Linked DNA regions of Macaca mulatta. The protein of the gene in region 2 purifies or fractionates together with the protein of the main gene of each other region. This does not show direct contact. Links are inferred from orthologs where the notes say so. Each region holds a gene or a part of one and is shown on either strand. Other genes may lie near its edges.

The links.
Region 1: the proteins of SIKE1 (region 2) and STRIP1 purify together in Homo sapiens (affinity purification with mass spectrometry; 3 studies listed by BioGRID and IntAct, with this or other methods). This does not show direct contact. The link is inferred for Macaca mulatta from reciprocal best matches to the Homo sapiens genes SIKE1 and STRIP1.
Region 3: the proteins of SIKE1 (region 2) and STRN4 purify together in Homo sapiens (affinity purification with mass spectrometry; 3 studies listed by BioGRID and IntAct, with this or other methods). This does not show direct contact. The link is inferred for Macaca mulatta from reciprocal best matches to the Homo sapiens genes SIKE1 and STRN4.

What each region holds. Positions count from the first base shown.
Region 1 is NC_133406.1:130,156,649-130,167,249, reverse strand, and holds the start of STRIP1 (striatin-interacting protein 1), read left to right. Parts: upstream 1-4,469; 5' UTR 4,470-4,483; coding exon 4,484-4,663; intron 4,664-8,030; coding exon 8,031-8,100; intron 8,101-8,951; coding exon 8,952-9,026; intron 9,027-9,442; coding exon 9,443-9,577; intron 9,578-9,665; coding exon 9,666-9,786; intron 9,787-10,601. UniProt on the Homo sapiens protein: Plays a role in the regulation of cell morphology and cytoskeletal organization. Required in the cortical actin filament dynamics and cell shape. Part of the striatin-interacting phosphatase and kinase (STRIPAK) complexes.
Region 2 is NC_133406.1:125,470,391-125,481,055, reverse strand, and holds the start of SIKE1 (suppressor of IKBKE 1), read right to left. Parts: upstream 6,646-10,665; 5' UTR 6,585-6,645; coding exon 6,426-6,584; coding exon of another isoform or gene 6,414-6,425; intron 6,193-6,413; coding exon 6,087-6,192; intron 5,263-6,086; coding exon 5,120-5,262; intron 2,120-5,119; coding exon 2,006-2,119; intron 33-2,005; coding exon 1-32.
Region 3 is NC_133424.1:59,195,365-59,205,470, forward strand, and holds the end of STRN4 (striatin-4), read right to left. Parts: intron 10,052-10,106; coding exon 9,876-10,051; intron 9,785-9,875; coding exon 9,737-9,784; intron 9,333-9,736; coding exon 9,211-9,332; intron 7,690-9,210; coding exon 7,519-7,689; intron 7,348-7,518; coding exon 7,207-7,347; intron 6,738-7,206; coding exon 6,639-6,737; intron 6,470-6,638; coding exon 6,383-6,469; intron 5,120-6,382; coding exon 4,950-5,119; 3' UTR 4,884-4,949; intron 4,689-4,883; 3' UTR 3,867-4,688; downstream 1-3,866. Other genes in the region: PRKD2 (serine/threonine-protein kinase D2), read right to left, coding at 465-704. UniProt on the Homo sapiens protein: Calmodulin-binding scaffolding protein which is the center of the striatin-interacting phosphatase and kinase (STRIPAK) complexes.

The DNA.
Region 1 (10,601 bases), about 4.7 Mb from region 2:
ATGGAAATTGCTAGAAACAGGCTCACTCTGCCTCCCAGCATATACTTAGGTATCAATGAATGTGAAACATGTTACCGAGTACCTGACACGCTGTAGGCACAGAATACATGCCAATTTCCTTCTACAGAGCCCACCTGGAGCAGCCACTATATTCCTGCAGCTCCTGCAATACTAGAATGGCTCAAATATGAAATTTCTTCCTCCAGTCTCTTGAACAATGACTGCTCGTGGTGAAGGAAGGGCTTCTCACCTTGGTTATCACCTCTTGGTAATAATTCTCCTTTATTAAAACAAACAAACAAAAACAAATAATGCTTTATAGTTTTCTTTTTTCTTTTCTTTTTTTTTTTTGGAGGCACAGTCTTCCTCTGTCACCCAGGTTGGAGTGCAGTGGTGCAGTCTCGGCTCACTGCAGCCTCTGCCTCCCAGGTTCAAGCTATTTTCCTGCCTCAGCCTCCTGAGTAGCTGGGATTTCAGGCGCCTGCCACCATGGCTCAAAATGTTACAGGAAAGAGTCTCAATCCAGACCCCAAGAGAGGGCTCTTAGATCTCTCACAAGAAAGAATTCAGGGAGTCCATAGCGTAATGTGAAAGCAAGTTTATTATGAAAGTCAAAGTATAAAAGAATGGCTGCTCCATAGGCAGAGCAGCCCCGAGGGCTGCTGGTTGCCCATTTTTATGCTTATTTCTTGATTATATGCTAAACAAGGGGTGGGTTATTCATGCCTCCCCTTTGTAGACCATCTGGGATAACTTCCTGGTGTTGCCATGGCATTTGTAAACTGTCATGGTGCTGGTGGGAGTGTAAAAGCGAGGAGGACTAGCTGTCACTCTCATCGCCATGTTGATTTTGGTGGGTTTGGGCCGGCTTCTTTACTGCAAACTGTTTTATCAGCAGGATCTTTATGACGTGTATCTTGTGCTGACCTCTATCTCATCCTGTGACTAAGAATGCCCTAATCTCCTGGGAATGCAGCCCAGTAGCTCTCAGCCTCGTTTTACCCAGCCCCTATTCAAGATGGAGTTGCCCTGGTTCACACACCTCCGACAAAAAGGCAAGTGGGATTATTCTCATTTTACAGATGGGGAAGGAAAAAAGAGAAATGCATGAAGACACTTTACAACTTCTACTCTCTACTGGGTTGTGCTTCTCTCAAAGTTTCCTAGCAAGTTGGAGTAGTGAGCTCTCCAGCTGTGCTTCTGCTCCTTCACATTTGGGATTCTTTTTCCTTCCAGATCTGTATACTCTGTCTTATGCATGCCCCATTCCATTAGTTAGCCATTTCTTTTTCAAAAATTTTTAAATTTGATTTTTTTTTTTGGCGGGGGGTAGGGTACAGATAGGGTCTCGCTCTGTTGCCCAGGCTGGTCTCAAATTCCTGGGCTCAAACGATCCTCCCACTTCAACTTCTCAAAGTGCTGAGCTTACAGGCGTGAGCCATGTGCCTGGCCTCTCAAAGTTAACCATTTTCTTATTGGCTATTTCTCAAATTAGGTTAATCGCAGCTTTACACTATTGAAAACACCATTGCCTGGAATATTATTGTACACCTATCTTTATTTAAATCTGATTATTTCCTTAGAATCTATTACTAGAAGTGGAATTATTGAACCAAAACCTTCCCTGTTCTAAATTTAGCTGAAACATGTTTTTCCCCAGGTGACACAGCTTATGATAGGCACAGGAAGATAGATAGGAGGAAATAGCAGTGTGGTAGTTTTGGATTATTTATTAATTTACAACAGAGACTTTTTAAGCACCTACTAGGTTGGACCTCAGGGGAAATCCCTGGAGAGTTGTATCACAGGGACTTTCTGGACTTGAGCCTGGGGTGTAGAGCAGGCAATATGTAAAGCTGGAGAGACAAAGATAGATAAAATGCCTTTAAGGATTTCACAGTATAACAACAGATAATGGTAAGAGCTATTATCACACAACACTTCTAAGATGTCTGATGAGTATCTCGAACTTGATGTGTCCAAAACTGAAGTCTTGATCTTTCCTCTAAACCTGTTTTTCTTACTCTTGGGCTTACTTATTTATTAAAGTGATACAGCCATCCACTCAGTTGCCCAAACCTAGATCTAGGGGGTCATTGTTTATTCCCCCCACCCAGCTGATCAGATTCCAGCAAATCCTGTCCCCCTACCTACACAAAATAGAAATATCAACCCAACGCTCCACTCTGGTGCAAGTACCATCATCTCCATCTACATGGTCCCCTAACTTGTCTTGCCTTATCCACTCTTGCAACTCTCCAATCCCTTCTCCAAAAGCAGCCAGATTGAACTTGTAAACATCACACCATAACATCTCCGTGGTTAACACCCTCGAATGGTTTTCCATTTCACTTAGAATAAAATTCAAACTCCTTCCCACTACCTTCAAGGCCCTGCATTCTTCTGGTCCCTGCATTATCATTATATGGCTCTCATCAACTACTATCCCTCCCTTGGCTCACTCAATTCCAGACACTCTTAACATCAGGGCTTTTGCATTTAGCCGTTTCCTCTGTCTGTGTGCCCTTCCTGGAACTTTGCAGGGCTTCTCCTCACTTCTTTCAGAACTCTTCTAAAATCACACCCTCAGGCCTTCCCTGGGCAGCATGCTTGTATTATAGCCACATTCTCCGCTTCCACCAACCCGTCCCCCGCCCCACTGCCACCTTTTAACCTCTTAATTTTTGTTTCTTCTAACAAAGATTCTCTTCTTTGGCCAAAACTCTAGTCAGGCTCCTGTTAGTCCTCTGCCTGACTAGGCCTAACCCTTTGGGCTTCCCTTTCTGTCCTTGTTGAATCCAGTTTGTGCAAGAACTCTCCACTCTTGGCGTCCTAGTCCATTTTTTGTTGCTATAACAATACCAAAGAGGGTAATTTATAAAGGAAGGAAAGTTATTTTTTGCAGTTCTGGAGTCTGGGGAGCCTAAAGTCGAGGGGTTGCTTCTGGTGAGGGCTTTCTTAAACTGCATGGTAGACAGCCTCTCACGATGAGAGAGCAAGAGCATGTGTGCCAGCTCAGATCACTCGTCTTCTTCTTACAAAGCCACCAGTCCCATCACAGGGGCCCTACCCTGATGATTTTATCTAATCCTAGTTACCCCGTCAAGGCTCCACCTCCAAATACTATCAATATATGAACTTTAGGATTGAGTTTCCAACGTATGGAATTTGGGGGACACAGTCAAACCATAGCACTCGGTATCTGACCACCCTCAACATCTTAGCACCCTGTCCTGCTTTCAGCAATAATCCTGTTAGGTCAGTTTAGCAAGAAACTTCTTATCCTTGATGTTTCTCTTAGTAGTTTTTGTCAGGCCTCTGAGCCCAAGCCAAGCCATCGCATCCCCTGTGACTTGCACATATACGCCCAGATGGCCTGAAGTAACTGAAGAATCACAAAAAACGTGAAAAAGGCCCTGCCCCGCCTTAACTGATGACATTCCACCCCAAAAGAAGTGAAAATGGCCGGTCCTTGCCTTGAGCGATGACATTATCTTGTGCCTGGCTCATCCTGGCTCAAAAAGCTCCCCCACTGAGCACCTTTTGACTCCCACTCCTGCCCGCCAGAGAACCCCCCTTTGACTGCAATTTTCCTTTACCTACCCAAATCCTGTAAAACGGCCCCACCCTTATCTCCCTTCGATGACTCTCTTTTCAGACTCAGCCCGCCTGCACCCAGGTGAAATAAACAGCCATGTTGCTCAGACAAAGCCTGTTTGGTGGTCTCTTCACACGGTCGGGCATGACAGTTTTCCATCCACTGACCCTCATCCTGCTCTTTGGTTATAAATCTCCACTGTTTCTTGTTGGAGTCAGAGTTGAGTCTAATTCCTCTTCTTCACTGCAAGGTCTGGTTGTAGTGGTCCCTGTAACTATCACCATGGGCTCTCTTACACAAAGTCTGCCTTACCATCTTTAATTAGTGCCGTGAACAAATTTTCCTTTAACACTTTTCAGCATTTATTTCTCTGCATTTGTCTATTGTTTGTCTGACTCACCAAGCACTGTTATGTACCATGACTGCAGACACTTGTTCCTCATTTTATCCCACTGCTTGGTGCACAGGAGACATTTATCAAATGTTTGTTGAATGATTAGCACTTGTCACAACTGCAACTCTGTGAACTAGCATCCTATCCATTTTGTTCATTACAAAATTCCGCCTAAGCCTTGAACAAGGCTATCAGTGATAAGTGCAAAGCAATTTAGAGGAAGGAGGGGTAACTAAACCGAAGAAGCTCAGGGAAGCCTCACAGATAAAATTACTTCTAAACTGAAACTGAAAGTTAGGAGGAAAACTAAAAAGATCAACAACGGAAGGGCTGCAGACAGAATATCGCGAGGTGTTGGTCAGCCAAGATGGCTTCTGACACTGGCCGCCACACTTAATATGGCGGCCAGGGAAATTTTCTCGAGAAAATCACGCGAGACTTGCATCACGGCGGTTGTCCCCGAGTCAACCTGGGGGTGTGGAGCAGCCAAGATGGAGCCGGCAGCCGGCGGTCCGGGCCCGCTGATCGTGAACAACAAGCAGCCCCAGCCTCCGCCACCTCCGCCGCCGGCAACCGCACAGCCACCACCCGGGGCACCGCGGGCCGGCGCGGGCCTCCTTCCTGGGGGCAAAGCCCGGGAGTTCAACCGCAACCAGCGCAAAGACTCGGAGGTCAGGAGCTTCGGGGGGCGAGGCTCGCACCCGGGCGGGCGGCGTCGGGGGTCCCGGGCCCGAAGCCACTGTCGGGACCAGGTTGGGCTTCCCAGAGGGCTCGGTAGAGCCCGGCCGAGAACTGTCAGTATACAGCGAAAGGAGCAGGAAGCGAGGCTCGCAGCTCCTGGGGTCGAGGGCATGAAGCTGGGGTCCTTGCTAGAGCTCCGCCGCCCGGGAGACCTTCCGGGAGCCGGCAACTGCTGGTTTGCTCCCTTGGGCCCCGGCTGTGGGCGTGGCCTCGAGGCCCCAGCCCCTGGGGAAGCCGCCTTCGCGCCAGCTCGGGGCCGAGGAGTCGGGGGTCTGGGTGCACTCCAGGGCGCTGGGCGGCCGCGTCCCCAACCTAATCATCTCGGGCCTCTGCCCCTGGCACGCGGGCGCCAGCTCCTGGGTCCTGCCGCGTACAGAGGAAGGCGCTTGTGGGCAGGAAAGGTACCGGCGAGGATCTAGAAGGCAGTTAGAGCCGGACCGAGCTAATTATCACTGAGAGTATTGCGCTGCCGTAGGTTCCGAGAGTAGGAGGAGGAAACATGCCCTGTTCTGACCTGAGCCAGATCAGGCCGTGGGGTTGACAGTGCCTGTGGTGGGTGTTGTGCCCAGTGCGCCTGCTACTGAACTGTTAAAGATGAGAAATAGACATTTTAAGCATTCGTTAGGACCCAGCATTCATTCGTCTCGCCAGTGAGCCGTTCCTGCCGTTCTGGAGATGGCATAGTCTGTAGCTGACTAGTAACCTCACCCCAAGTTAAAGAATTCCTCCCACTACCTCCCTTTGCAGAATTCATGAATGAAGATACTCATGTCACGGCGTTTTAGGGCTTCTTAATCAGCAGGTTCCCAGAGCACTTACTATGCCATCTCCTAGATTGATCAGCAGCCAACCTGATCAGCCAAGTTAATGAGAGGGAATTCCTCATTGTCCAACCATAATGTACCAATTCATACCGAAGAGCGATGATACTATCTTTAGACCTGTGAAATCAGTTCCTCAGAAGCTTTTATTTTTTGTTAGCAAGCCTAAACCCCTGAGAAAACATGTCAACAGTTGGCAAGCCCGAAGTAGACGTAATTTGAGCTTGGAGTGAATTCTTTGAAAAAACAATGACACTGACCTTTTAGGAGCCCTTGCATGGTGGGATGATGGACATCAGTGGTAACTACTCAGTTTTTCAAGTGTGGAAGTTTACAAAAGTGGAGGGGGGTGAACCTACCTTCATCATGAGAGGAGTTATTTTGAAAAATGGTTTAAAATTTGTCTGAGTAGCTATGAATGGTCAAATAAATACCCTTTGACGAATTTTTAATTTCTCTTTTTACCCTTTAATTTCCACATAGCGGACGGGTCCAGTGGCTCAGGCCTGTAATCCCAGCACTTGGGGAGGCCGAGGCGGGCGGATCACCTGAGGTCAGGAGTTCCAGACCAGCCTGGCCAATGTGGTGAAACCCCATCTCTACTAAAAGTACAAAAATTACCCAGGCGTGGTGGCAGGAGCCTGAGACAGGAGAATTGCTTGAACTTAGGAGGCGGAGGTTTGCAGTGAGCCGAGATTGCACCATTGCACTCTAGCCTAGGTGACAAGACTGAAACTCTCCCCGTCTCAAAAAAAAAAAAATTTCCACATAGACTGATTACATGAAAGACCAGTCAAATAGACACATTTAAGCAGAGACCTGTCTAAATCCATTTCTTTAGAGAGGCTGCCGGGCGCGGTGGCTCAAGCCTGTAATCCCAGCACTTTGGGGGGCCGAGACGGGCGGATCACGAGGTCAGGAGATCGAGACCATCCTGGCTAACACAGTGAAACCCCGTCTCTACTAAAAAAATACAAAAAACTAGCCGGGCGTGGTGGCGGGCACCTGTAGTCCCAGCTACTCAGGAGGCTAAGGCAGGAGAATGGCCTAAACCCGGGAGGCGCAGCTTGCAGTGAGCTGAGATCCGGCCACTGCACTCCAGCCTGGGCGACAGAGCGAGACTCCGTCTCAAAAAAAAAAAAAAAAAAAAAGAGAGGCTGATGCCGTGATCTTTCTTTAGTCATAGCCGAAATCGGTAGTTTGGGAGCCTGATCAGTGAATGCCTGGAGGAGAGGGAGGCTGACATTTGATGAGAGCTCACTGTGTACTACATAATTTTGATTAGTCCTTAAAAATCTTCAGAGTAGATTTTCATCATTGCCATTCAATGAGTGAAGAAACTGAAGCTCAATAACTTGTCAAAGTGTACACTGTGTTGTCTCTGAACACAATGTGGAGTTCTTGTTTGTGGGTATGTTTTTTGTTTTGCTTTGTTTTGTTTTGAGACAGAATCTCCCTCTGTCTCCCAAGCTGGAGTGTAGTGGCGTGATCTTGGCTCACTGCAACCTCTACCTATGGGGCTCAAGCGATTCTCCTGCCTTAGCCTCCCCAGTAGCTGGGACTACAGGCACGACCCACCATGCCTGGCTAATTTTTATGTTTTTATTAGAGATGGGGTTTTACCATGTTGGCCAGGCTGGTTTCAAACTCCTGACCTCAAATGACCCGCCCACCTCAGCCTCCCAAAGTGCTAGAATTACAGGCGTGAGCCACCTCGTCTGGCCATTTGTGGGTATGTCATTTTGTGGCTGGTCTTTGTCTTCCCAGGTAGATTGTAATTAAACCTAAGGACTTTACCTATTTGTTTCTCACTTCTCTCTTCCCAGTACAAGCCTTCCAAGATGGTGTGTTCTCAGTAATCACCTATTTCCAACAGGAAAAAGACTGTCTTTGTCACATTCTCTCTTATATGTGGGAGGGAAGTTGATCTGTTTGGCGGTGGCCTTCTTTGTCAGTTCTCACTGAAATTTGAGACAAAGGCGGGGAAAGCTGAGGGTTTCAATACTCATTTTTGTCCTGAGCTGTTGACAGCTCACTAGCCAGAAAGAAGTTAAGACTTCTGGAATCTTAGCATCACATGGAATGGTCATTTACTGCACAAAATACATAGAAACCTTGTATTTGTTCATTTAACAAATATGTGAGTATAAACCATTCATTCATTCACTTATTCATGCCAAATACTATGCTGGACCTTGTGAAATCATTGGTAAGCTAAATGGATGATGTTCTTGTTCTCAGGGAACTTGCAGTCTTGTGGAAAGGCAGACACTAAACACATCCTATAATGATAAGTTATGATAAGTGCTCTGAAGGAGAGGTATAGGATACTCTGAGAGGTTTTAGGAAACAAAATGTGAAAAAACATCAGAAAAGTGGAGGCACTGGTGTCCTGTAACAACAGCATCTCGAAGCATGTGTTTCTTTGACAAACAGCATGATCCTTTTTCCTAAAGCTCTCTCCTCTTGTCAGCAGGGCTATTCGGAGTCACCAGACCTGGAGTTTGAGTATGCTGACACAGACAAGTGGGCTGCAGAGCTCTCGGGTAAGGCAGGGACCTTTGTGTTATTTGGGGGTAGTTTTTTCCTTATTGGTCTTTAAGAAAATTAAGAATGAATATCATTTAGGGCTTCATTGCTTTCCCTAGTTAGTTCTATCAGATAGATATATGTATGTGTATATATATGTGTATATGTGTATATATGTAAATATAGTGCATATATGTATACGTATATATGTGTATATATGCATATATGTGTGTATATATGTATATGTGTGTATATATGTATGTGTGTATATGTATATGTGTATGTATATATGTATATATATGACACGTTAGTTATTTGATTCAAGCCTTGTGTATCTTATAACTTTGTGTTGTCCTTTACTTTTATGAAGCTGACTAGAGCCCAGTCCCATTGTGAGACAGTGATGTTCCTTGGCTATCCACTGTGACCCTGATAGTGGTCTCTCCTCCAGCAATGGGTCATGAGGGATGCCTGCATCTGTGCCCATCTGCTGCTGCCACTGCCACTCTCATGTAATGCGAGGTCGGTGTAAGCTGCTTCTCCAGCCTCTGTAATACATGTCCTGCTCAAGAGGTAGCAGCCACTTGAGAGGCGCATCCCAGGTGGCCGTCAGCCCTGGCATGGCATGGTGGGATGGATGCACATCGGACAGGAAGTGTCCAGATGGCATTCTGGCACTCTGGTTCTCTCTATTGTGCACATTAGAGAACTAAGATCCCCTTCATAATTAGAGAGCTTATTCCAGGAGTCACTATGACTCAGGGCCAGAGTTGAGAGTGGAAGCAAATGCCTTGCCTTCTCTGCACATGTGAGACTTGGTGTGCAATGCAGACATGGAACCAATGGTGATGAGACTTTGTTCCAACAGAGCTTTACAGCTACACGGAAGGGCCAGAATTCCTGATGAATCGAAAATGCTTTGAGGAGGACTTCCGGATCCATGGTGAGATGATTTCCCCCACTTCTTGCTTCCTTTGCCCTGCATGATGAGAGCTGCAGGTTTCTTTTAGGCATCTGAATGACCTGAGTCATCCTTGAACGGCCTGAGAAGCCTGCTGAACCCTGATGGTTCAAAGCCAGATACATGTAGAGTGGGCTTGTGGCACATCCTTGGGGGCTTTTCAGAATGTGCAGATTGGGGGAGAAAAAAAAATTCATGTGATTAAAATTGCGCCCAAAATACCAGCGTTTCAGTTTGGAAATCAAATTCATAGGGCAGCAGTATGATCTTACCACTTACATAGGGGGTAACTTGTCTTTCTGGTCCTATGGCAGTCCTGAAATTGGTGAGTTAACATGGGTCCATGCCATTGTGAATATTTTTCTAGGCTCAGGTGTAACTGGTTTCTTGCCCTGCAGTGACAGACAAGAAGTGGACTGAGCTGGACACCAACCAGCACCGGACCCATGCCATGAGGCTCCTGGATGGCTTGGAAGTCACTGCCAGGGAGAAGAGACTTAAGGTGGCTCGAGCAATTCTCTATGTTGCTCAAGGTATTGAGTGGACCTCCCCAGGATTCCCTAGCACCTCTGCCCACTCAGATGCAGGGAGGGGCTCAGTGAACTGAACCCTGTGTTGCAGGCACGTTTGGGGAGTGCAGCTCGGAGGCAGAGGTGCAGTCCTGGATGCGCTACAACATCTTTCTCCTCCTGGAGGTGGGCACGTTCAATGCTCTGGTGGAGCTTCTGAACATGGAAATAGAGTGAGCATTTTTGAGAGGCTGAGTAGGGAAGGGGAGGCTGGGGTGGGAAGGGGGACACAGCTTGCAGAACTAACTGGCTTTGAGAGGGTTAAATGGGCCACATGGGGCAGAAAGTCTGGTCCCAGGCTGTATTCTGACCACCTGGGTTGAATAATGGAGTTGGTCACTTACACCTTGAAGATTAATGGAGACTAATGACAGGTCCCTGCAGCTCCCTGATGCCAGAATTTTTACACCAGACAGGATAGGCCCTACCCCGGCTTTGCGGGGCTGCTCCTCAGAAGGAGACTCCTCACTTTGAGCTCTCTTTTGAACCTGTAGACTCTGCTGTGTTCGCCCTGCAGTTCCCCGCTTGGCAGGAGGCCAGGCACAAGACTGACACATGGGCTCAACCAGTGCCTGGCCTTGCCTGTGTCACCTTTGTCCAGTGGACAGGTCAGCTGCTGCTCATCTAAGGATAACGCCATCAATGATAATAGCTAAGACCACTCACTGAGTGCCTATGTGTCCCGGGCATTGTTCTCAGGATATTACAGGTGCTAATTCATGTTAAGGATATAGGTACTGCTATCATCCCCATTTTACAGATGAGGAAACTAAGGCACAGTTAGAGCCAGGATTCAAACTGTGGCAGTCCAGTGCACGACTGGGTTTTTTTTGCTTGTTTGTCTTTTGTTTTTTGTTTTTTGGGGTTTTTTCTGAGAGTCTTGTTCTGTTGCCCAGGCTGGAGTGCAATGGCGCGAACTTGGCTCACTGCAACCTCCACCTCCTGGCTTCAAGCAATTCAAGCAATTCTCCGGCCTCGGCCTCCTGAG
Region 2 (10,665 bases):
GACAATAATTCTCGAAGTTCCTTATTTTCAAGCTGGAAAAAAAAAAGGCATGTTTATTTCTGGTATATTTACTGTCAAGCTGCATTACAACAACACATTATTTTGAGCCAGGAGCAGAAAACATTATTTTTAATTTAAAAAATTTTAAGGAAACAAAAAACCCACTAGTTGAGAATTTCCTTAAATACTACTTATTTATTCATTTAACAAACATTTACATGTAGGATGTAGGCAATGATACTCTTTTGTAGTAGTAATTTACTGAGTAATTTCTATATACCAAGTGTTACAATTACAAAGGAGAAACAAAAAACAGGGTCCCTCTCCATTTGAGGAATTCACTATGTTTTATTCTTCATGGTTCCCACAGTTTTACTATTATTTCTTTTATTTAAAAAATTCCTAATAATCGTTTCACTCTGATTAATCTCCTCTCCTGGATATCTTATAGTTCCAGAGAAATGGAAGGAAAGGGGGAAAGAAATTACTTATTGAGCATGTAGCTGGGTACTACTTGGGTGCCCTGTATATGCTATCTCACAATAATCTGTAGGGTAGGTATCATTGCCTACATCCATATATTTCATGAGGATGCTCTGGCTCACAAAATTCCTAAAAGTTGTCCAAATTCAGACAACTTGGATGTGGTATTACTGGGGTCTGAATCTAGTGGTCATGTTTTTTCTACTTGAAGTATTAAGGTAGAATTTGTCCCACATTTCCTTAGGGCTGTTTCCATAAGTGAGGTAAATCGAGGATAAATAGAAGGTCATGCTATCATTTCACTAGCTCCTAATTCCTCCTTGGGACCTGTCACTACCTTTGATTTCTAGAGAGAGTAGCTTCCGCTCTTCATCCTTATTCTCTGCAGAAAATTCTGGTAAACCAAAGCATTTTTAGCTTCACCAAGATGTGCGGAAGTCCCAGCTAGAGTAACTAAGAGATTAGAGCCTGTGGTCGATGAATCTTCAGTATTTGTATCTGTCTCCTAGCATTTACATACTATTTAATATCATATGATACTAGGATTATCCCTTCCACTAGACTCTGGGCAGGTACCTGTGTTTTTCTCTCTGGTATTTCTCAAAGGCCCCAGGACAGTACCTTGTAATAAGCAGCACACAAACCATTTACTGAAATGCTTCATTTTTTTTTTTTAAATTTTTCAGACAGGATCTCATTCTGTCGCTCAGGTTGGAGTGCAGTGGCATGCATGATCATGGCTCACTGCAGTCTTGACTTCCTGGGTTCAGGTGATCCTCCCACCTCAGCCCCTGAGTACCTGGGATTATAGGTGCACACCACCACACCCGGCTAATTTTCTGTATGTTTTTTGTAAAGACAGGGTCCCCGCCATATCGCCCAGGCTGCTCTTGAACTCTTGGGCTCAAGCAATTCACTCACCTCAGCCTCCGAAAGTTGAAATCCTTAACAATTTTATGAGCACACTAATGCCCCAAACCCTTTTTTGTGCTCCCTTAAAATAGGAATATTAAAATATTCCTATTTTAATCAAAATATGACCTAACATAGCTTTTAAGAAATCAAGACTACAAGGCTTATACAAGCAGTTCTTTGGCTTTGTAACCCAAATGCAACCAGTTTTAACACTTTTATCTATTTCTTTTGGTATTTAATTCTGTAATTCTAAATAATATGCTTATACTGCTATTTCCTGATCATTAATTTTAGACATTATCTACTTCACTTATTATGGCAGATGAAGGATTTTATCTCACATATAACTTCTCCCCTCTACTCCCTCTACCTTCCCATTATAATATCTCAAGTTATTGCCAATACATAGTTGGTATTTCCACTGATTGCTGTTTACTATATTTCCTTTCTTCAAAAGGATATCAAAGAGTATGAAGGAGGAGTTTTAATTTTAAATCATGAGCACACAGAAAACATTAATATATTACAGTGATGGGATAGTGATGGCATATCTTCCAGACTCCGAAAACTCTGAAATACTGTGAACCTAAAATAGCTACAATCTTACCTCTAATTGGGCTAATTTTTCCTGAATCTTACAAAACTGGTCATCATCCACCTGAACTGCTCTCCTCATCACTTCTCCCATTTCGCAGATTCTGTCAATCTGACTCTCAATTTCCTGTGAAGATATTAAGGAAACAAAGGTGGAAAAGTCACCTGTTCTCTATATATAAAGAACATAAAAGTGTGTGCATTATGATTTTTAAAAGTTCATTTAATCTATGATACAGAAGTTACAATGGAGTTTCACTATAATTTTAGTCCTTAGACATAAAGCCATAGTAAAGTGATCTTGTGGTATTCACAGATAATTTTTTTTTTTCCAAAAAATCAATTGTGCAAGACAGTGTGGCGATTCCTCAAGGATCCACAACTAGAAATACCATTTCACCCAGCCATCCCACTACTGGATATATACCCAAAGGATTATAAATCATGCTACTATAAAGACACATGCACACATATGTTTATTGCGGCACTATTCACAATAGCAATGACTTGGAACCAACCCAAATATCCATCAATGATAGACTAGATTAAGAAAATGTGGCACATATACACCATGGAATACTATGCAGCCATAAAAAATGATGAGTTCATGTCCTTTGTAGGGACATGGATGAAGCTGGAAACCATCATTCTGAGAAAACTATCGCAAGGACAGAAAACCAAACACCACATATTCTCACTCATAGGTGGGAAATGAACAATGAGAACACTTGGACACAGGGTGGGGAACATCACACACTGGGGCCTGTCGTAGGGTGGGGAGAGTGGGGAGGGATAGCATTAGGAGGAATATCTAATGTAAATGACGAGTTAATGGGTGCAGCACACCATCATGGCACATGTATACATATGTAACAAACCTGCACGTTTTGCACATGTACCCTAGAACTTAAATAAAAAAAAGAAGGCCTCCTTAAGGGGATCCTCATTCCAGTTGTATATGTTCTATTGATACCATTACTAAGGGATACAGTTTTTATTTTTTTATTTTTTATTTTTTGAGACGGAGTCTTGCTCTGTGCCCCAGGCTGGAGTGCAGTGGCGCGATCTCGGCTCACTGCAAGCTCCGCCTCCCGGGTTCACGCCATTCTCCTGCCTCAGCCTCCCGAGTAGCTGGGACTACAGGCGCCCGCCACCTCGCCCGGCTAATTTTCTTGTATTTTTAGCAGAGACGGGGTTTCACCGTGTTAGCCAGGATGGTCTCGATCTCCTGACCTCGTGATCCGCCCGTCTCGGCCTCCCAAAGTGCTGGGATTACAGGCTTGAGCCACCGCGCCTGGCCAGGGATACAGTTTTTAAACAAATATATAATGTTTCTTATATTTAAAACCAAGAAGTGAAGAGTAGAATGCATTTTCTGTTTTCACTCTTTGCCCAGACATCAAGTTGATAATCCTATGGTTATCAGTGATATGCATCAGCTCATAAGTAACCCTTCAGTATGTGAACATGGGGAATTTTTAAATACTGGGCTCTTCGATATGGATTTGTGTTACAGTCATGTTATCTTCTCACACCTTCCAAGATTTCAAAGGATCTGATGGCTGTAATTGCAGAGAATAAATGAGTAATCTTTAGTCTATTTCAGAAATAGAAGGCCAGATGATTCCCTTTCCATAAAGGATTAAGTTTTCATCCAATGCCAACTCTGATAAGGCCTTAGTCATTTCTGTGGGTGAAATCTGATCTGATGCAAGCAATGTTATTTTCATTTCTGAAAATTATCTATGTCCAGTGCATCAATCACCCAATAGGTCCACCCTCCAATAAAAATATTTGAAACGGAAAAAAAAATCAGTTGTAGTTTAACTACCCATTGGATGTTGGATACTACCTCTAAGTGGCTGTTTAACTTAAATTTGAATACTTTCACTGGCAGGAAGCTTACTACATTCCAAGGTGCCTTATTCTATCTTTGGACATATCACTTAGAAAGTTTATCTATCTGAGTAAACTGTCTCTTTCAAAGTTCAGGTTTTTTCCTCCATATGAGAATAAATAAAATCTATTTTTCTCTTCCAGTTGAAAGCCATTCAAATATTTAAAATATCTGTTTCCTAAAACTTTTAAGTCAGTAAAATGCATTCAATGTAATTTAAGATGAAGCTTATATTTCACTACATCTCACAGAAGTAGTAGGCTCCAACTTATACATCTAGAATTAAATGACACAGTACACACGAATGTACAATGACAACCATGAAGCACCTACAAACATAAGAACAATTACCGAGTCTCCCAAATTAGATAATAAGCAATCAAAGCATAGAAACTATGCCATGTTTGTTTTTTTTAAAAACCATACTTCTATCCCCTAATAACATAGTATGATGCTATGTGGTTCAGTTTATAAAAGGTTTATTGACTGCTTGCTATATGTCAGGTACTATGTTAGGAATAAAATGTGAATTCAAGTGCCTCACAACCAAGGAGCTTAAGTGAAATGTATAATAACCAACCAAGTATTTACTGGGCACCTTCAACACTAACTGACATTACGTTTGGTGTGAGGGCTAAGAATTAATGAACATTTTCAAAAGAGATCTTGGTGAGGGAGGGGGAACGTTAGTCCCATTCAAATAAAAGGACCTGAGCAACCACTATCCTTCTTTCTATTCATATCTTTACAAAGCCATGGCAAAATAAACAACAAATATGATAAACATGAAAGGAAAACAAGCTTACTTTTCTTCAAAAACAAGCACACATGGCCAGTCACAGTGGCTCATGCCTATAATCCCAGCACTTTGGAAGGCTAACGTGGGTTGATCGCTTGAGCCCAGGAGTTTCAGACCAGCCTGGGCAACATGGCGAAACCTCATCTCTACAAAAAAAAAAAAAAATAATAATAATAATAATAAAAAACCCCACAAAAATTAACAGGGCATGGTGGTGTGCACCTGTAGTCCCAGCTGCTCAGGAGGCAGAGGTGAGAGGATGGCTTGACCCCAGAAGGCAGAGGTTGCAGTGAGCTGAGATCGTGCCATTACACCACAGCCTGGTCGACAGAGCCAGACCCTGTCTCAAAAAGCAAAAAAACAAGCACACAATCTAAAACAATCTCAAGATTTCAATTTGGTTCATTTCAAATTTATTCGAAGTTTCTTACTGCAGAGTGAGACTGGTGAGCTTTCAGGACTGGTTCGGCATCCACAGCTTTTTTAGCAACCATTAACTGTAACATCTGTTTCCGGTACTTGCTCATGATGAGCTCCAAAGCATCCTGGTGTTCCTCCAAGGAAATCCACAGCTCTGTCAAAAAATAAAATAACTTGGCAGTGATGTCTGAGAGACAGTTCCCAAATCCAAAGTCTTAACAGTTAGAATTTTGCAATACTATAGAGATAATATGAATCCAAGGTTGTAAATCAATGTTTCAGTCTACAAAACTGAGCAGTTAAAGTCTATGTTAAAGGTAACTTTCTAGGCAGAGAAGCAAAATCTTGCAGTAACAACAACGGATATGTCATCAGAAGACATGGATTTGAGTTCAGTTCTGTAACTTGCTTGGTTAATACTCATAAGTAAATCATTTAGCTTCTCTGAGCCTATTTCTTAACAGCATTGTGATAGATAAAAATGAAGATATGAGAATACAGTAGAATGATATATGTGAAACCCCTCTGGTAAACAACTATTAATACTACAGTCATTAATAATGTACTAATCAAGCCTAAGAATATATACCCTTAGAGTAAAATTCTGCTGCTTCACCTTGCACAAACAAGAACATAAACAAAACCTTAAATCTTACCTTCAGTGTTTATATTAATATTTAAACATTAAATTTTAAGTCCATGAGGATATGAACTCTTTTGTTACACATCTGGAGATGCTTAAAAATAAACCATGCAATAATTCTAACTCTACATAGCCCCTCTTTGGTAAGCTGCTACAAAATCAGTCAGATGACCTTGAAATGGGTAATCTAACAAACTTTACTGTTACTGAGCCAGCACAGGAGGACTCTCCTACGAAAAGTACTGACCTGGAAATAGATGCACACCCTTGTGAATGTTTAGGGCAATTTTGCAGTAACTTTAAACTATTACCAGATATGAAAAGGCCTGACTAACCTCTGTTTTCCTGTTGCAAGTCTCTAATCTGTGTGTTCTCTTGAGACAGCAGAATGTGAGGTTTGTATTTGGACATGTCCTTCATATCGGATGCATCCTCTTGATACTGGACAAATAGAGACAGTCTAAGCATGCCTTAAAGAGAACAGCGGCAGATGCAACTCAAGTGGCAGAAGTCAGGGCTCTAGGGCAGGATTCTCAGCTCCGACCCAGGAAAAAGGTCTCACCGCCGCCCTCTGAGACCGGGAATAAATTTCAGGCCGAGTTCCCACTTTACCTCGCTCTCCACCCTTCAGTGCCCAGAATCCGAGAGCACTGGACTCCTACCCTCTGCCTGACCTGGTCCGGAAGCGCTGTCCCCGCCTCCCGCATAGCGGCTACCCGCCGGTGCAGCGCTGCCGACTGATCCACCAGCGACTCGGCAGCCGCATCGTGCTCCCGCAGCCTCTCCAGAAGCGTCTTGGCGTCTGTCAGGATCTTCTCGATGGTGCAGCTCATAGCAGCAGCACAACCCCAGCCCCTGCCGGGCTCAGCTACGCGACTCGCTCAGATCTTCTGGGAGTCTGTCTCAGCATTACTGGCGTCACTTCCGGGCACGTTTAAAAGGTGTCTTGGCAGACGCAAGAGGCGCCTGCGCAGTGGCACCCTATTTTGCGGGTTCACCCGCTTTTACCTGTGGCTTCCTTGCAGTCCTGCCTGACGCGGAGCCCCAGACCTGCCCTTACCACGCTCTTGGTTTCCAGTTGCCACAGCCTGGTGGTCAGGCCATGATGAGCTGGGCAGAAGGAAGGTCTCCTTTCCCCACTGGTTTTCATTGATGTGGATTGTTATTCAGTCACAGTTATTTTCTTTTTATTTTCATTTAATTTTTATTTATTTTTTTTCGTTTTTGAGACGGTATCTTGGTATCTTGCTCTTGTCGCCCAGACTGCAGTGCAGTGGCGCGATCTTGGCTCACTGCAACCTATGGCTCCCGGGTTCAAGCGATTCTCCTGCCTCAGCCTCCCGAGTAGCTGGGATTACAGGCATGCACCACCATGCCGGCTAATTTTTCTATTTTTAGTAGAAACGGGGTTTCACATGTTGGCCAGGCTGGTTTTGAACTCCTGACCTCAAGTGATCTGCCTGCCTCGGCCTCCCAAAGTGTTGGTGTGAACCACTGCGCCTGGCCTACTTTCATTTAAGTTTTAAAAAATTGTGGCAAAATGCACATAAAATTTAATATCTCAGCCATTTTTAAGTGTACAGTTCAGTAGTATATTCATATGGTTATACAGCCACCATCAGCATCCATTTCTAGAACTCCTTCGTCTTGCAGTACTGAAGTTCTGCACTCTTTAAACAATAACTCCTCATTCTTCCTTATCCCCAGCCCCTGGCAACCACCATTCTACTTTGTCTCTACAAATCTGACTATTCTGGGTACCTGACGTGAGTGAAATCATACAGCATTTATATTCATATAACTGCCTTGTTTCACTTAGCGTAATGTCCACGAGTTTCATCCACACAGTAGCATATGTTAGAATGTTCTTCCTTTTTAAGGCTGAATAATATGTATATGCCACGTTTTGTTTATCCATTCATCCGCTGGACAGTTGGGTTGCTTCCGCCTTTTGCTATTGTAAATAATGCTGCTATTACAACTGGCTCACGTCTGGCTGTTTGTTGCCTAGAGGCCAAAATCATGAGAAGTGACTGATGATGAAAGGAAAGCAGTTTTACTAATCAAACGCTCGCAGATGGGGAATGGCTACACTCATGCCTTCAAAACAGCATTCCGCTTTTTTTTTTTTTTTTTTTTGTCAACGTATCCCAGAGACAGTATCAGTGTCCAAACTTTAATTTTGTCCCATATCAATGCCAGGGTGGTGTGCTACCTGCCCTGAGTCCATCATGTCACTCCTGCGGCCAACCGACTTAGAGTCAAAAGAGTTACAGCCAATTAAACATTCTAGGCCAGATGGGGAAGGAGGTGGGCAGGCACTCATTAACCTTAAAACTCCTCTTAAGCAATGTTAAGAGCCAAAAACCAAAAACCAAAAGGCAAGGTTACAAAATTGACTTATCTATAAATTCTATGCATTGAGCTGCTGTAATCTTGGCTTGCTGCAATTAGCTATATGAAATGCAAGCATTTTGTTCAGCTGTTTTGGCATCTGTGTGTCATCCTTGATTTGTAGGGTCTGAACTGATTTTAGCCCTCAATACTGGCCCTTACAACATTATGTTATAGTCTCTAGGCCTGAGGGGATTGAAGAGTTTCAACTATTGTAGGTAAAACAAAACAGAAAGAATTAACAACTTTTCAAACACAAAGGTCATAAACCCTGCCTAGTTTTGAGAGTAACAGGAAAGAAAGTTCATACGGAGCTAAACACTTAAATTATTTACTATCAAGGCACAGAATACATTACATTAGTTCAGATAGAGGCAAAATTGTTAAGTGAATCTTAATATTTTTGAACACAAGACTGTCCCTGTGTCTCATGAAAGCAGTTTACTTTGTCGCCTTTGCCTGAGTCTAAAGATGAGGCTTTGGTTAACTGCAGTTTAGTGTCAGATACTGGCAGGAGTTGGTGCCTTCTTTGGATGAGATATGTGTAAAGCCCTGTAACTTGAAAGCACAAGGATTAGTTAATATCACCTGATAAGGACCTTTTCAAGGAGCTGGAGGTGTGATACTGGAGTCTATGACCTGACTGAAAGCTGTAAAAAGATTTTACAACCTTGCAGTGAGTAACTTTTATAGCTTTGATAAACCCTAGCAATAAGTCAGAGACTTAATTTATGATTTTGATTTTGAGGACATCTGTCAAAGATTTCAAAAGTCTCAAAACATTTGATCAAAACAGGATAATATTCATTGTAAAAATAATGTATTTATTTTTATTAATAAATTTGGTTAAATGGTTACTCATTTAACCAAACTGATAATTAAAGACTTTAAAGGCAATTCAGAAGGTTACCTGCACATAAAAACCCGAACCCTTTTAACTCTCAGTTTTTCTAGGCAATTAAAAACCAGTTAAAGAGAGCATGGGAATTATCTTGATAAAACATAAAAATCTTGTTTCTTAAGCAAGTTACTACACAGGCAAAAAACCCCTTCTGCTGTGTGACTGCTTCTCCTTATGGGAAGACCATGCAGATAACCTGAAAGTCAGACTTGAAAAAAGTGCTTGAATTTAATCAGACACAAGAGCGTATTCACGATTATGAGTACAGCAAGGGAATACACCACTCTGAGCAATTGTGTCAGAAGTTTTCTGATTACAATGAAAATCACACTTATCAAGAAAAGCCAAGAGTACAGAATCAAGTTATATTGGAGGAAAACAATGCTTTTATAGAATTCTAAGATAAAACATTTCAGCATCAGGCCCCAACAGTTGGAATCAGAGGAAAAAATTAGAGGAGCTGATGGAAAAAGTTGAAGAGTCCTTTTCAAAGGGAGGAAAAAGCTGAAAACAGCAGGCACAACAAAAGTTGAACGTCTAAGATATGAATCTGAGAAGTTTTGAAAAGAAATAGGTGATAGAATTAAAAAGCAAAAGTTCCTTTAATTTCATTAAGAGTAAACCAATACCTTAGGAAAACCTTATTTAAACCTAGGGAATCATTCATTATTTTTACTTTTATTTTACTTTAAGTTCTGGGATACATGTGCAGAACATGTAGGTTTGTTACATAGGTATACATGTGCCATGGTGGTTTGCTGCACCTATGAACCCATCATCTAGGTTTTAAGCCCCACATGCATTGGGTATTTGTCCTAATGCTGTCCCTCCCCCTGCCCACCACCTGCCGACAGGCCCCAGTGTGAGATGTTCCCCTCCCTGTGTCCATGCATTCTTATTGTTCAACTCCCACTTATGAGTGAGAACATTTGGTGTTGGGTTTTCTGTTCTTGTGTTAGTTTGCTGAGGATGATGGTTTCTAGCTTCATCCATGTCCCTGCAAAGGACATGAACTCATTCTTCTTTTTTTTTTTTTTTGGAGACAAGAGTTTCACTCTTGTTGCCCAGGCTGGAGTGCAATGGCGCAATCTCAGCTTACTGCAACCTCTGCCTCCTAGGTTCAAGCGATTCTCCTGCCTCAGCCTCCCAGGTAGTTAGGATTACAGGCATTTGTATTTTTAATAGAGACAGGGTTTCTCCATGTTGGTCAGACTGGTCTCAAACTCCCAACCTCAGGTGATCTGGCTGCCTCAGCCTCCCAAAGTCCTGGGGATCATAGGCATGAGCCACTTTGTCCAGGTGAAGTCATTCTTTTTTATGGCTCCATAGTATTCCATGGTGTATATGTGCCACATTTTCTTTATCCAGTCTGTCACTGATGGGCATGTGGGTTGGTTCCAAATATTTGCTATTGTAAATAGTGCTGCAATAAACATACATGTGCATGTGTCTTTATAGTAGAATGATTTATAATCCTTTGGGTATATACCCAGTAATGGGATTGCTGGGTCAAATGCAATTTCTGGTTCTAGATCCTTGAGGAATCACCACACTGTCTTACACAATGGCTGAACTAATTTACACTCCCACCAACAGTGTAAAAGCGTTCCTATTTCTTC
Region 3 (10,106 bases), on a different chromosome or scaffold from region 2:
TTGGGCTCTAAGACCTCACTTGCCCCTGGCAGCTAACTCAAGCACCTGCACTCACACATGTCACCGGATCACCATGGCCAGCCCGGGTTCAATTTCTCCTGTTTCCACCAAATGGGAGGCCCAGGATGGGCCTGGATGTGGAGGTCCCCCGACATCTGCTGCCCCTTCCTCCCCTCTCTACACCTGGCTGCCCCCCCCTTCCTCCCTGTTTGCTGCAGAAAACAACAACATGCAGGGACATGAAATTTGGGGAGGCCTCTGGGGCACCCCACCCCTGCCCAGTCCTCTCTCAAAGGGATGGTGGGGAGAGGGGCAATGGAGGGGGGCAATGTCCCCTATCCCTCCATCACCCAATGCTCAGGTCCCCTTCCCCCCTCTTCCGCACACCAGGCCCCAGACCCCCCTGCCAGCGCCCCCTCCTTCAATCTCTCCCCGAGCTGCATCGAGGGAGCCCGCGCCCTCACCTTCTGGTCCACGATGGAACAGGCCAGCTGCTTCACATGAGCCAGCTCGGAGGCGGCGGGCAACAGCACGAACTCGCGGGTCAGCCCGATCTGGATGTGAAAGGAGACCCCGGAGCCCGGGGCCGGGACCTGGGGCAGTAGCGCTGGCGGCGACTGCAGCTCTAGGCCGCCGGGGGGCGGAGGAGACCCCGGCCCGGGAGAGCCAGGGAGCCCGGCGGGAAAAGAGGGGGCGGCGGCCATGGGGGGAAGCCAGGGACCGGCCGCCTGGCGCCCACCCGGGACCCGGCCGGGGGGCCCCGGGGGACCCTGGGTCCTAGATCCGCGGGATCTCGTGAGCAGGTGGTGGGAGCGCGGGGATCCAAGAAAAGATCTGGCAGGTGGAGGGGACCTGAGGATGGCGGGGTCCTGGGAAGGAGAGAAAGGCACTGTAGCGGGTCAGAGGCCCGGAATCCAGGACTCCCAGCAGAGCAGAAAGGAGAAAAGTAGTGGTTTGGAGGTCCCAGCGATTGAGAGATTCCAAGAAGCCCAAGAGGAAATCTAGTAGGTAAGGGTCACAGGGATCAGGAGAGCCCGCGATTCAAAGGCCCCTTCCCTAGAGGACGGATTGAGAAGGGGACAGAGGGAATCCCAGGAACCAGTGCTCCAAGAAGAGGATCCCACTCAGAAGGCGGCCCGGGGGAATTCACCTTGAGGGTGGAGGCAGGAGTCTCTGAGTCGGGGACCAAGTGGATCCCAGAAATAAAGGGGTTAGCAGGGACCCGACTGGCCCGGGGATGGGCAGAGGGGTCCCGAGGGCCGGAGTGGGTAGAAGGGAATCTCACGAATCGCAGAAGTTGGAGAAAAGTTCGGTCGGGAGCCGTGAGGAAGGGGGCGTTGCCGGCGGCGGGGTAGGGTGGGGGGCAGGGAGGGTCGCCAGGAGCCAGTAGCTCTTTTTCCCCCTCCAAAGTTTAAGTCGGCGGCGGCGGCCCAGGAGGAAGTGTCCGGAGCGACGGCGCAGTCGACCAATCGGCGCGGGCCTCGGCAACGTCACGAGGGGGCGGAGCCTACCCAGGGGCCGGGGGCGGAAGGGGAGGGCGGGCTTGGTGCCTCTGAGTTGGGGGTTGGACCTCCGCCTCCTGGGTCGGGGACCTGGGATGGTGTGAGAGATGGAGGGCAGGCAGGCGAGACCAGTTCCTTCCCTGAACACAGCCAAGCCTGGAGAGTTAACTTTTCCCTCGACTGGACAGGGAGGGGAAACACTGTCACCCACCGCCGGTCGCGGGCGTCGGGCTTGGAGACCATTGGCCCTTTAAGGAGGGGAGCCCTCTCCGGCAGGCGTCCGGCGCCCATGACAGTGGACAGGGTGGGAAATCAGGGTCAGGTCCCGGCCCGCTCCCTTGGCTCGGCCTCTCTGTTCTCCGAGCGTCGCCCCAGCCCTCCCCGCCGCGTCCCAGCCCAGGGAAGGGGGTGCTGCAGAGCGTCCCCCCGCCCCAGCCCATTTAACACATGGAAAGACCAAGGTCTCCAGATGGGTAGGAAGGGCTCGCCTTAGGTCTGTCTCCAGCGTTGCTGGGCAAGGTGCATGGCGCTAACTGGATGGGTGGGGAGGGTCCATCCCCCCCCACCCCAACCCCGCCTTAGGACGGTGCGGGGCTGCCAGGAGGGAGGACAGCACACCCATACCACTTCATAGATGCAGAGTGAGTCTCCTGGGGATGTGGAGTACGTGTGCGTGTCTTTCTCTCCATGTGACTTTAGGTGAGTGGCTTCTCTGTGAACCTCAGTCCCTCCATCTGTTGGGACTGTAATAGGACTTACCCCACATGGGATGGTGGGAACCGATGCGATTGTATACAGGTGCCTGGAAACGCAGCAGTTCAGTAGAAGCGGTGATTGTCTCTAATATGCGGAAAAGGGTGGCCACCTCCAGCACTCAGGCTTTGATGGGTGGGCACGTCCATTTAGTCACCCAGCAAGTATCTGTGAGGACCTACTGGGTGCTGGATGGACCCTGCCGTAAAACTCCAGCCGCTACAGGGGTCAGGCTTGATCTCTTCTCCCCAGCTAATCATCAAATAGTGGCTACCATGTAGTTTACACAGAGTAAGCTGTGTTTACACAGAGTAAGCTGAAGCCTCAGAGATCTTGCCCAAGATCCCAGAGTGAAGTTGCTTGAGGGAAGCTGCCCCACCCACCCCTTTGATTGACAAGTCAAGGCCTCGGTTTGAGCTCTAAGAGAGGGGCCACCTGTCTGGCTGGGATGCTGGCAGGACTGGAAATGGCAGGACTGGCTGAGGATGGGGGCTGCCAGAAGAGCCCCTCTTCCTGGTGTAGGGCCGTTGGGGGTAGCTGAGGTCGGTACAGTATCGATTCTGTCACCACATCCGGGGACTGGGGCTGAGGAAGGAAGTCTGAGGCTGGAGTGAAAACCCAAACCACCACCTGGGGAACTGCATCGAGCCCAGAGGGATGAGCAGGGAGCACACCACGTGGAGCCCACGCAGGCTCCTGTTGGCGTCACCTAAGGGCCTCCTGCCCACCTGCACCCTTTTTCCTGAGGGGGAGATGACTGTCCCAGCAAAACGCTGCCATGTCCCCAGTGTCCAGACAGCGACCTCCATCCTTTCTGGTATGTTCACTGGGGCCTGCTGGGGGACTGGGGACACAGCCCTTTACAACCCAGGAAGAGGGCATTAGTGGCCTGTGGCAGAGGTGCTAGGACAGCTGAGGACGCCTAGCTGGTAGGTGGTGGAAGCCTCCTCCTGGAGACAGGAGCGGCGGTCCCCTCCATCTCATCTGGAGCATGTGGACACCTGTTCCCTCTTTTTAAGGCTGTGGACCCAGTGAAATGCCATGTAAAGCGCTCAGCACAGTAGACATGGACTACTGAGAACAGAAAGGAGGGACTCATCAGGACATGCGCCACGAGAGCTCGGGCACCTGCAGCACCTCCTCCTAGCATGGAGGAGCCTTCGGCCTGTGTGCCAAAGCCATCCTTCTCCACTGGCAGGAGCAGCCTTTCCCTCCCTGCTCCTTGTGGGCCTGGGAGGGAAACAGGAAGGGGGTTTATGTCCTCTGGGCACCAGCCCTTTGGCCTCACCACCACCCATCACACATCCCAGGCAGGGCTGAGGCTTCAGCTGAACTGTCATCACAGTATCTGCTCCCCAGGGCTCTGCCCCTGGGGAGGGAGCACTTAGGGACAGAAAGAAAGGGCACAAGGAGATTCGGTCCAGTGCCTCCACTTCTGCTCTCCACCCACACCCCACCCAAGCTCTGGGCCCCTCTCCGTCCCCTGCTGCCCTACCACAAAACCCCAACCCATCATATCCCCTCTCTCCAAACTCCACTCAACCCAGGCAGAGCCGGTCACTCCTCCCCCAAAGTCCCCAGTCCCCTCAACAGATGGCACCGTCACCCATCTTACTCCAAAGGGTTTATTGAGACAAGTTTTCACATACAAGATGGGGGCAGAGGGGATAGGGGTTATAAACAGGAACCTGGAAGGGGACCGAGAGTGCACGGTAGAACCAAACAAGAGTGAAATAAATAGAGGAAAGAGTGGAGGCAGGGAGGAGACTGACTGAGACCATCACACAGTGATAACGTGGGTGGGGCAGCGCCATGAAAATCCCGTTATTTATACAGATATACAGGGAGTTCAGGGGGACCCAGGGGCCCCCTCCACCCTCCATGCCCCAGGGAGGGGCATAAGAAAGCCATCTCTGCCCATGGGCGACCCCGTGGGGCGCTGGGAGGGCTGCCCTAGGAGTCTTGGGCAATCCCTGGCCTGGAGGCCATGGTTAGTGTCTGGAAAGCAGTGGAGAGGGCCAGAGGGGAGGGGCAGCCAGGCCGGGGCTCAGCTCCGAGGCTTCCGGCTGCCACCCTTTCTCCCAGCACAGCTCCTGCCCAGGTCTGGGAGGATGGGGGATGGGGCAGCAGGAGCTCAAGGGGGAGAACCTGGCACCTTCTGGAGTCTTGGAAAAAGTGATCCCTAAAGACACCCAGCCTGGCTGTGCTGCCCTCTGGAAGGCAGCTCTGATACCAGGAGTGGCTGTCAGGGCACAGGGGGAAACCCCGAGGCCATCCTCAGGGGTGATTCCTGAAAGGGGCCCATCCCCAGGCTAAATGCTTGGGGAAGGCAGCCCTGGGGGAGGGATTCCTGGGGAAAGGGCCGTTAGCACCACCAGGCTCCACGGCAAACAGAGGCCAGGCCTCTGCACCTCCAGTGAGGCTGGGAGTCCCCTGCGGGAGAGAGAAGGGAGAGGAGACTGAGCCACCGTCTCTAGGGCACCTCTCAGGCCTCAGCCCCTCCCCTGCATGCCCAGGACTTCCCCAGTGATTCTCACAGGACGCCTGACTGGACTGCGGGGCTCAGCACACTCAGGAGTACCAGGCATGGATGTGTAGGGACTCAGGTTGCGGGGTTTCTGCCCTCACCTCAGCCCCACCTGCCCGGCCCCGCACCCTAGCCAGTGTGGCGGCCAGGGCAGGGCCAGGTGGGCATCATACGAAGACCTTGGCCAGGGCGTCGGCGCCAGCACTGGCAATGAGGGCCTTGCTGGGGTGGCAGGCGACGGCGTGGATGGCCTCCTCATGCTTCTTGCGGTGGGCTGTGATCTCCTGCACGCACGTTTTGTTGTCCAGGCTCCAAAGACGCAGGGAGCAGTCATGGCCTGAGCAGGGGTCGGGGGCAGAAGGGGTGGTCACCGGGCTCCTCACTCAGACGCAGTCCTGGAACCCCTCACCTGGCCTTGTCCAAAGGCCTCAGGGGAAGTGGGGCTCAACTCTCCTCTCTCATCCTCTGTTCATCACCTCCTGAGGCCCACCCAAAGGAGAACCCTGGTCCCTTCCTGTCCACAGTCCATCTCGTTCCCCAGCATTTCCTGAGCAGCTACTGCACACTGAGCCCCGGGGCGGAGGGGCGGGCAGTGAACAAAACAGGCAACTCTCTCTGTCCCGCAGCCTTGACGCTGCAGCTGGGAGACAGGAAGAGAAAGAAGAAAGCAACCCAGCCGCTCAGTGTGAGGACAGAATGGCCCCAGGAGGAATGCAGGGAGCCTTCCAGGCAAAAGGACAGGTGGGAAAGGTCCTGAGGCAGGAGGCGGGGGTGGCCACAAGAGCCTGAGCAGGGGCTTGGGGAGAAGAGGGGAGAGGACAGCAGGCTGGGTAGGGCCCTGGTGAGGAGAGGTCTGATTTAGGGTCAAGAGGATCAGGCAGGGCAAAGGCTTAGCTCCCTCCACTGTCTAGTGGCCCCCAGAACAGAGCCCTGTCTGGGCACTGGGCTGGAGTTCACTGACCGGCCCCTCACCCACCAGAGGCTGCCAGCACAGGCCCAGAGGCAAAGCCCAGCCACAGCCTCCAACACCACAGCCTGCGCCTCTGTGCACACACACACTCACTGCTGCACTCACTGCAGGCCTCACCCTTCACCCCACAGCGACCTCCAGTCTCCTCCACCCACCTACGTCCCATTCCATCCCTTCTAAGCACAGCCGCGTTGCTGGCCTCAATGCCCTTATCCACAGACAGCAGGGTGGGAGCACAGAAGTCCCTGCAGGTACCCCCAGGTAGACCTGGACTGATGTTACGAAGCTTCAATGGCCAAGTTACAAAGCGTCAGGGCGTCAGGGCCCACATCTGTAAACTGGGGATCAAAGTACCAACCGCACAGGCTGCTTAGTGGCCGAATAAGACGATGCAGCTCCAGTGCCCCAGAGGAGTGCCCCAGTGGGCTGTGCTGCCCGCTATGGTCATCACTGTCATTCCCGCCCAGACCAGCTGCCCCCTGCCCTCTATGGTCACCACTGTCATTCCTGCCCAGACCAGCTTCCCCCAGCCCTGGCCCCCGGGCCCACTGAACACTTGCCTGGAGCCAGTGCCCAGGCCTCTTCCTCCCCTTCTCCCCAACCCTGGTGCAACTAGTGTGCCCAACTTACTTCCTGACATCAGGAATGCGCCATTGGGGTCCACGGCTAGGCAGGTGACTGCGTCCAGGTGTGCAACCATGGAGTGCACCAGCTTACCTGAGGCGAGAGGGGCGGGTGGCAGGTTTCCCTCCCACTCTGAGCCTCGACTGAGAGAATGGAAGGACTGGAGGAGACGCTCCCAGAGCCTCCCACAGGGACACAAGCATCTCTGCTGCCTGCCTTTGGCCCTCCCCACCCACCGCGAGCACAAGGGGCTAGGCCTCACCTGTCCGATTGTCCAGGAAGCGGATGCCCCTGTCGTCGTGGGCGGTGATAGTGAGAGGCTGGTTTGGATGACTCACCACTTGGTTGATCTGGGTTGGACCTGAAGGAAAAGGCAGGAAGAGGGAAGGCTGTCAAGGGGAAAATCAGGAAGACTGGAACAGAGGCATGAGTGCAGCGTGACAGCCCCACGGCAGCCTCTGCCTGGATGTCGAGGGGGACTGGGCGAGGGCACTCCCATCCCTGACCGCAGTGCTGGTTCTGCACAAGCAGCCCCTGGGCCCTGTTTTGGGGCTGGGGGAAGAGGAATAACAAACATGAACACATTCCGCCACTCTACCAAGAGGGCCTGACGAAGTGGCCTTGACACACTCTCCCCACTCGGCCCCCCCAGTGCTCTGGCTGTGAGGGCGGGGGGCCCTCCACTGGGACCCGACTTCCTTCCTGCTCAGGGCCCAAGGGTGCAGGGGAGTCATCTGAGCTGACTGGCAAGGGGTCACCAAAGCCCCAGGAGGAAGTGGGGCCCGCAAGACACTGAGACCAACTCCCTGAGCTGATGTCAGCCCCCTTACCGCTGCTGCCCCGGGACTCCAGCGTGAGGAGGGCACCACCAGCCTCCAGGTCATACAAGACAGTGTCGCCAGAGCGGAAGGAGGCCACGATGTGGGCAGGGTCGGTGCTGGTGAAGGCCACTGAGGTTGGGACCCCGTGCTCTGAGGGCACAGGGAAGAGAAGGCTGAACGGACCCTCAGACCCAGCCCTGCCCCAGGGTGGGAGACTGTGGGTGGGAGGCCTGGGGCCTCAGCGGGAACCACTCTGATAGCCTCCAGCCCTGCATAGCTCCAGGGTAAGGTGCTGGGGCCCCCACTCAGGGCCCCACTCACCGCTGGCTGTGGGGAAGGTGCAGAGGCAGGCCGGGCTGCTGCTGCTGGGGTCCCAGATGCGGACGGTGCCGTCGGCGGAGCAGGAGGCCAGGCGCTGGGAAGCGGGACTGAAGGCCAGGCCCCACACGGCATCCCCGTGGCCCTCCAAGACGTGGCTCAGCACGCTTGGGTCTGCACCCACCACAGGGAGGAAATGGGCTGTGTCAGGGATGTCAGCTCCTCCCTGGACAGCCCAGAGCCCCAGCTCTGCCAAGCCCCAGGCGGCTGGGCTCCAATCACCCATGCACCCGCTTCACACCTGCTGCCCCTTGGAACTGTCCACCACCAGGACAGCCCGGCAGCTGCTCACACTGCCCACTAGCTTTCCAAGGAAGGTTCTAGGGCTCCAGAAGGCAGGGATTTCCCTCTATTCATGGCTGTCTCCCCAAGCAGGGCCCAGAAACTGAGAACTCAATACAGAATTTTTTGGACTCCATTAAGGAAGAAGGAACAGTATGGTTCTGTGGTCCCAGGAGTGGCACACGGCCTGTGCTGGCCAAGCGTTGGTCCCAGCCCTGGCCCAAGCAGTCTTTTCAGCCCGTGACCCAGTGCATGAGTTTGCCTGGTCTCTCCAAAGCCCCTTGGTCATTCAGAGGTCCAACCACTGCTTCCCTGGTCGCTGGAGTCCACACCAGCAGCTCTGGCCTGCTGACACTGAAAGTGTGGTGGTTAATGTGGCTGGGACCGACCCTGACCTTATGCAGGTGAGCCTGTTCTCTAAAGTCTGTCCTCTCCTTGAGAGGACACAAAGACCTCTGAACTCTGTCCGGACAAGGTCGAGCACAGGGCCAGGTACATGATCAAGAGGAGGCAGAGCCGGGTGCAGTGGCTCACGCCTGTAATCCCAGCACTTTGGGAGGCCAAGGCAGGTGGATCACCTGAGGTCAGGAGTTCGAGACCAGCCTGGTCAACATGATGAAACCCCGTCTCTACCAAAAATACAAAAAATAGCTGGATACGGTGGTGCATGCCTGTAATTCCAGCTACTGAGGAGGCTGAGGCACGAGAATCACTTGAACCCAGGAGGCAGAGGTTGAGGTAAGCCAAGATCACACCACTGCATTCCAGCCTGGGCGATAAAGCGAGACTCTGTCTCAAAAAAAAAAAAAAAAAAAAAATTGTGGCAGAGAGCAGGAGGACAGATGTTGAACAGGAGTGACAGTCTGGTCACTTCCCTACTTAGGTCTTAGATGCTCCAAAGAGAAAGCCCCAACTCCCTCCAGCCTGGCCCAGCTAACTCCACCTTCTCTGCTTTCTCTGGACATGCCCTCCCCCTAACCACGCAGAGACGCTCGTGGATCCCCACACACAGAGCACACGGCATGGCAGAGCAGAGGCTGCCAGGGCCAGCCACGCCTGTGCATGGGCTGCTCCCAGCCTGGGCGGTCCCAGCTCTGCCTTCTGGACACCACCTCACATGATTCTCAGGCAGCTTCACCACCCCCTCCCACAGCCATCGTTCCCAGCCTGGCTGGCTCGTCCCTCAGCCACGCACTACATCGTGCTGCTCACAACACAGCAGACGGGGCAGCCATCACATGCACTCCCGAGGCCTGCAGTGTTGGGCAAGAAGTGGACGTGACGTGTGCGTGCGTGGAGGGGACGGCCAGGCCCCAGCGGATGTGAGGGGAAGGCAGGCGGCGTTGTCCTCACCATAGCCATCGTAGGGATCCATGCTGAGGTCTGGAATCTTCCAACTGTGGATACAGGCATCTGCCCCTCCACTGTAGCAGTACTCACTGTTGCTGCCCATGGCCACAGCCAACACTGGGCCCCTGGAAGGGACAAAGATATGGAAAGGGGGATGAGACAAGCTCAGAGCCTCCCCTGGCCACAGGACCAAAGTTTCCTACTAGCATTCTTCAAGGATGGCCAAAAGGAATTCAGTGACTGGGGCTCTGGCCATGCTAGCTGGACAAGCTACCTGTCCCCTGCCCTCCCCCAGCCCACCTCCATCTCCTCCCCTGAAGGGCTGTGCTGAGCACCAGCTGCCAGGGTATGTGAAAGTCAGCATGGAGCCCCAGGAGCCAGGGCTGTGTATATCATGGAGGGGCGCGGGGACTCAGAGCCCCTGCTGTTCTGCCTCCTGCCATGTGCCTCCCGGGATGGCAGTGAGTGGGTCAGGGGTCAGGCTGCGTTTAGGACGAAATTTCTAGCAGGCTCAGGGGCACCTCCTTACCTGTGAGCCCGGAAAGCATGGATAGGTTCCACGTCTAGAGCCGCATTCCTGTGGGATGATAGAGGAGCCTGATGTCACTGAGACCCTGTCACTCCCATCCCTAGATGCCCCTACCCGCGGCCGAGTTTGCTGCCCTCACTTCTTGGCTGTGACCGCCTTCTGCAGGTTCCAGAGCTTGAGCGTGCCGTCCTCGGAGGCGGTGAGCAGAGCCGACTGGCTGTGGTGGAAGGCCAGGGAACGAATGCCATCGTAGTGCGAGCGCAGGGTGAACTTGGGGTTCCATGTCTTCTTAAAAGCATCTTTGCTGTCAGACAGCTGGGGTTGGGGGGAGCCGCCTCAGTGTCTTTGCATCCATCCAGCAGTCATGCAG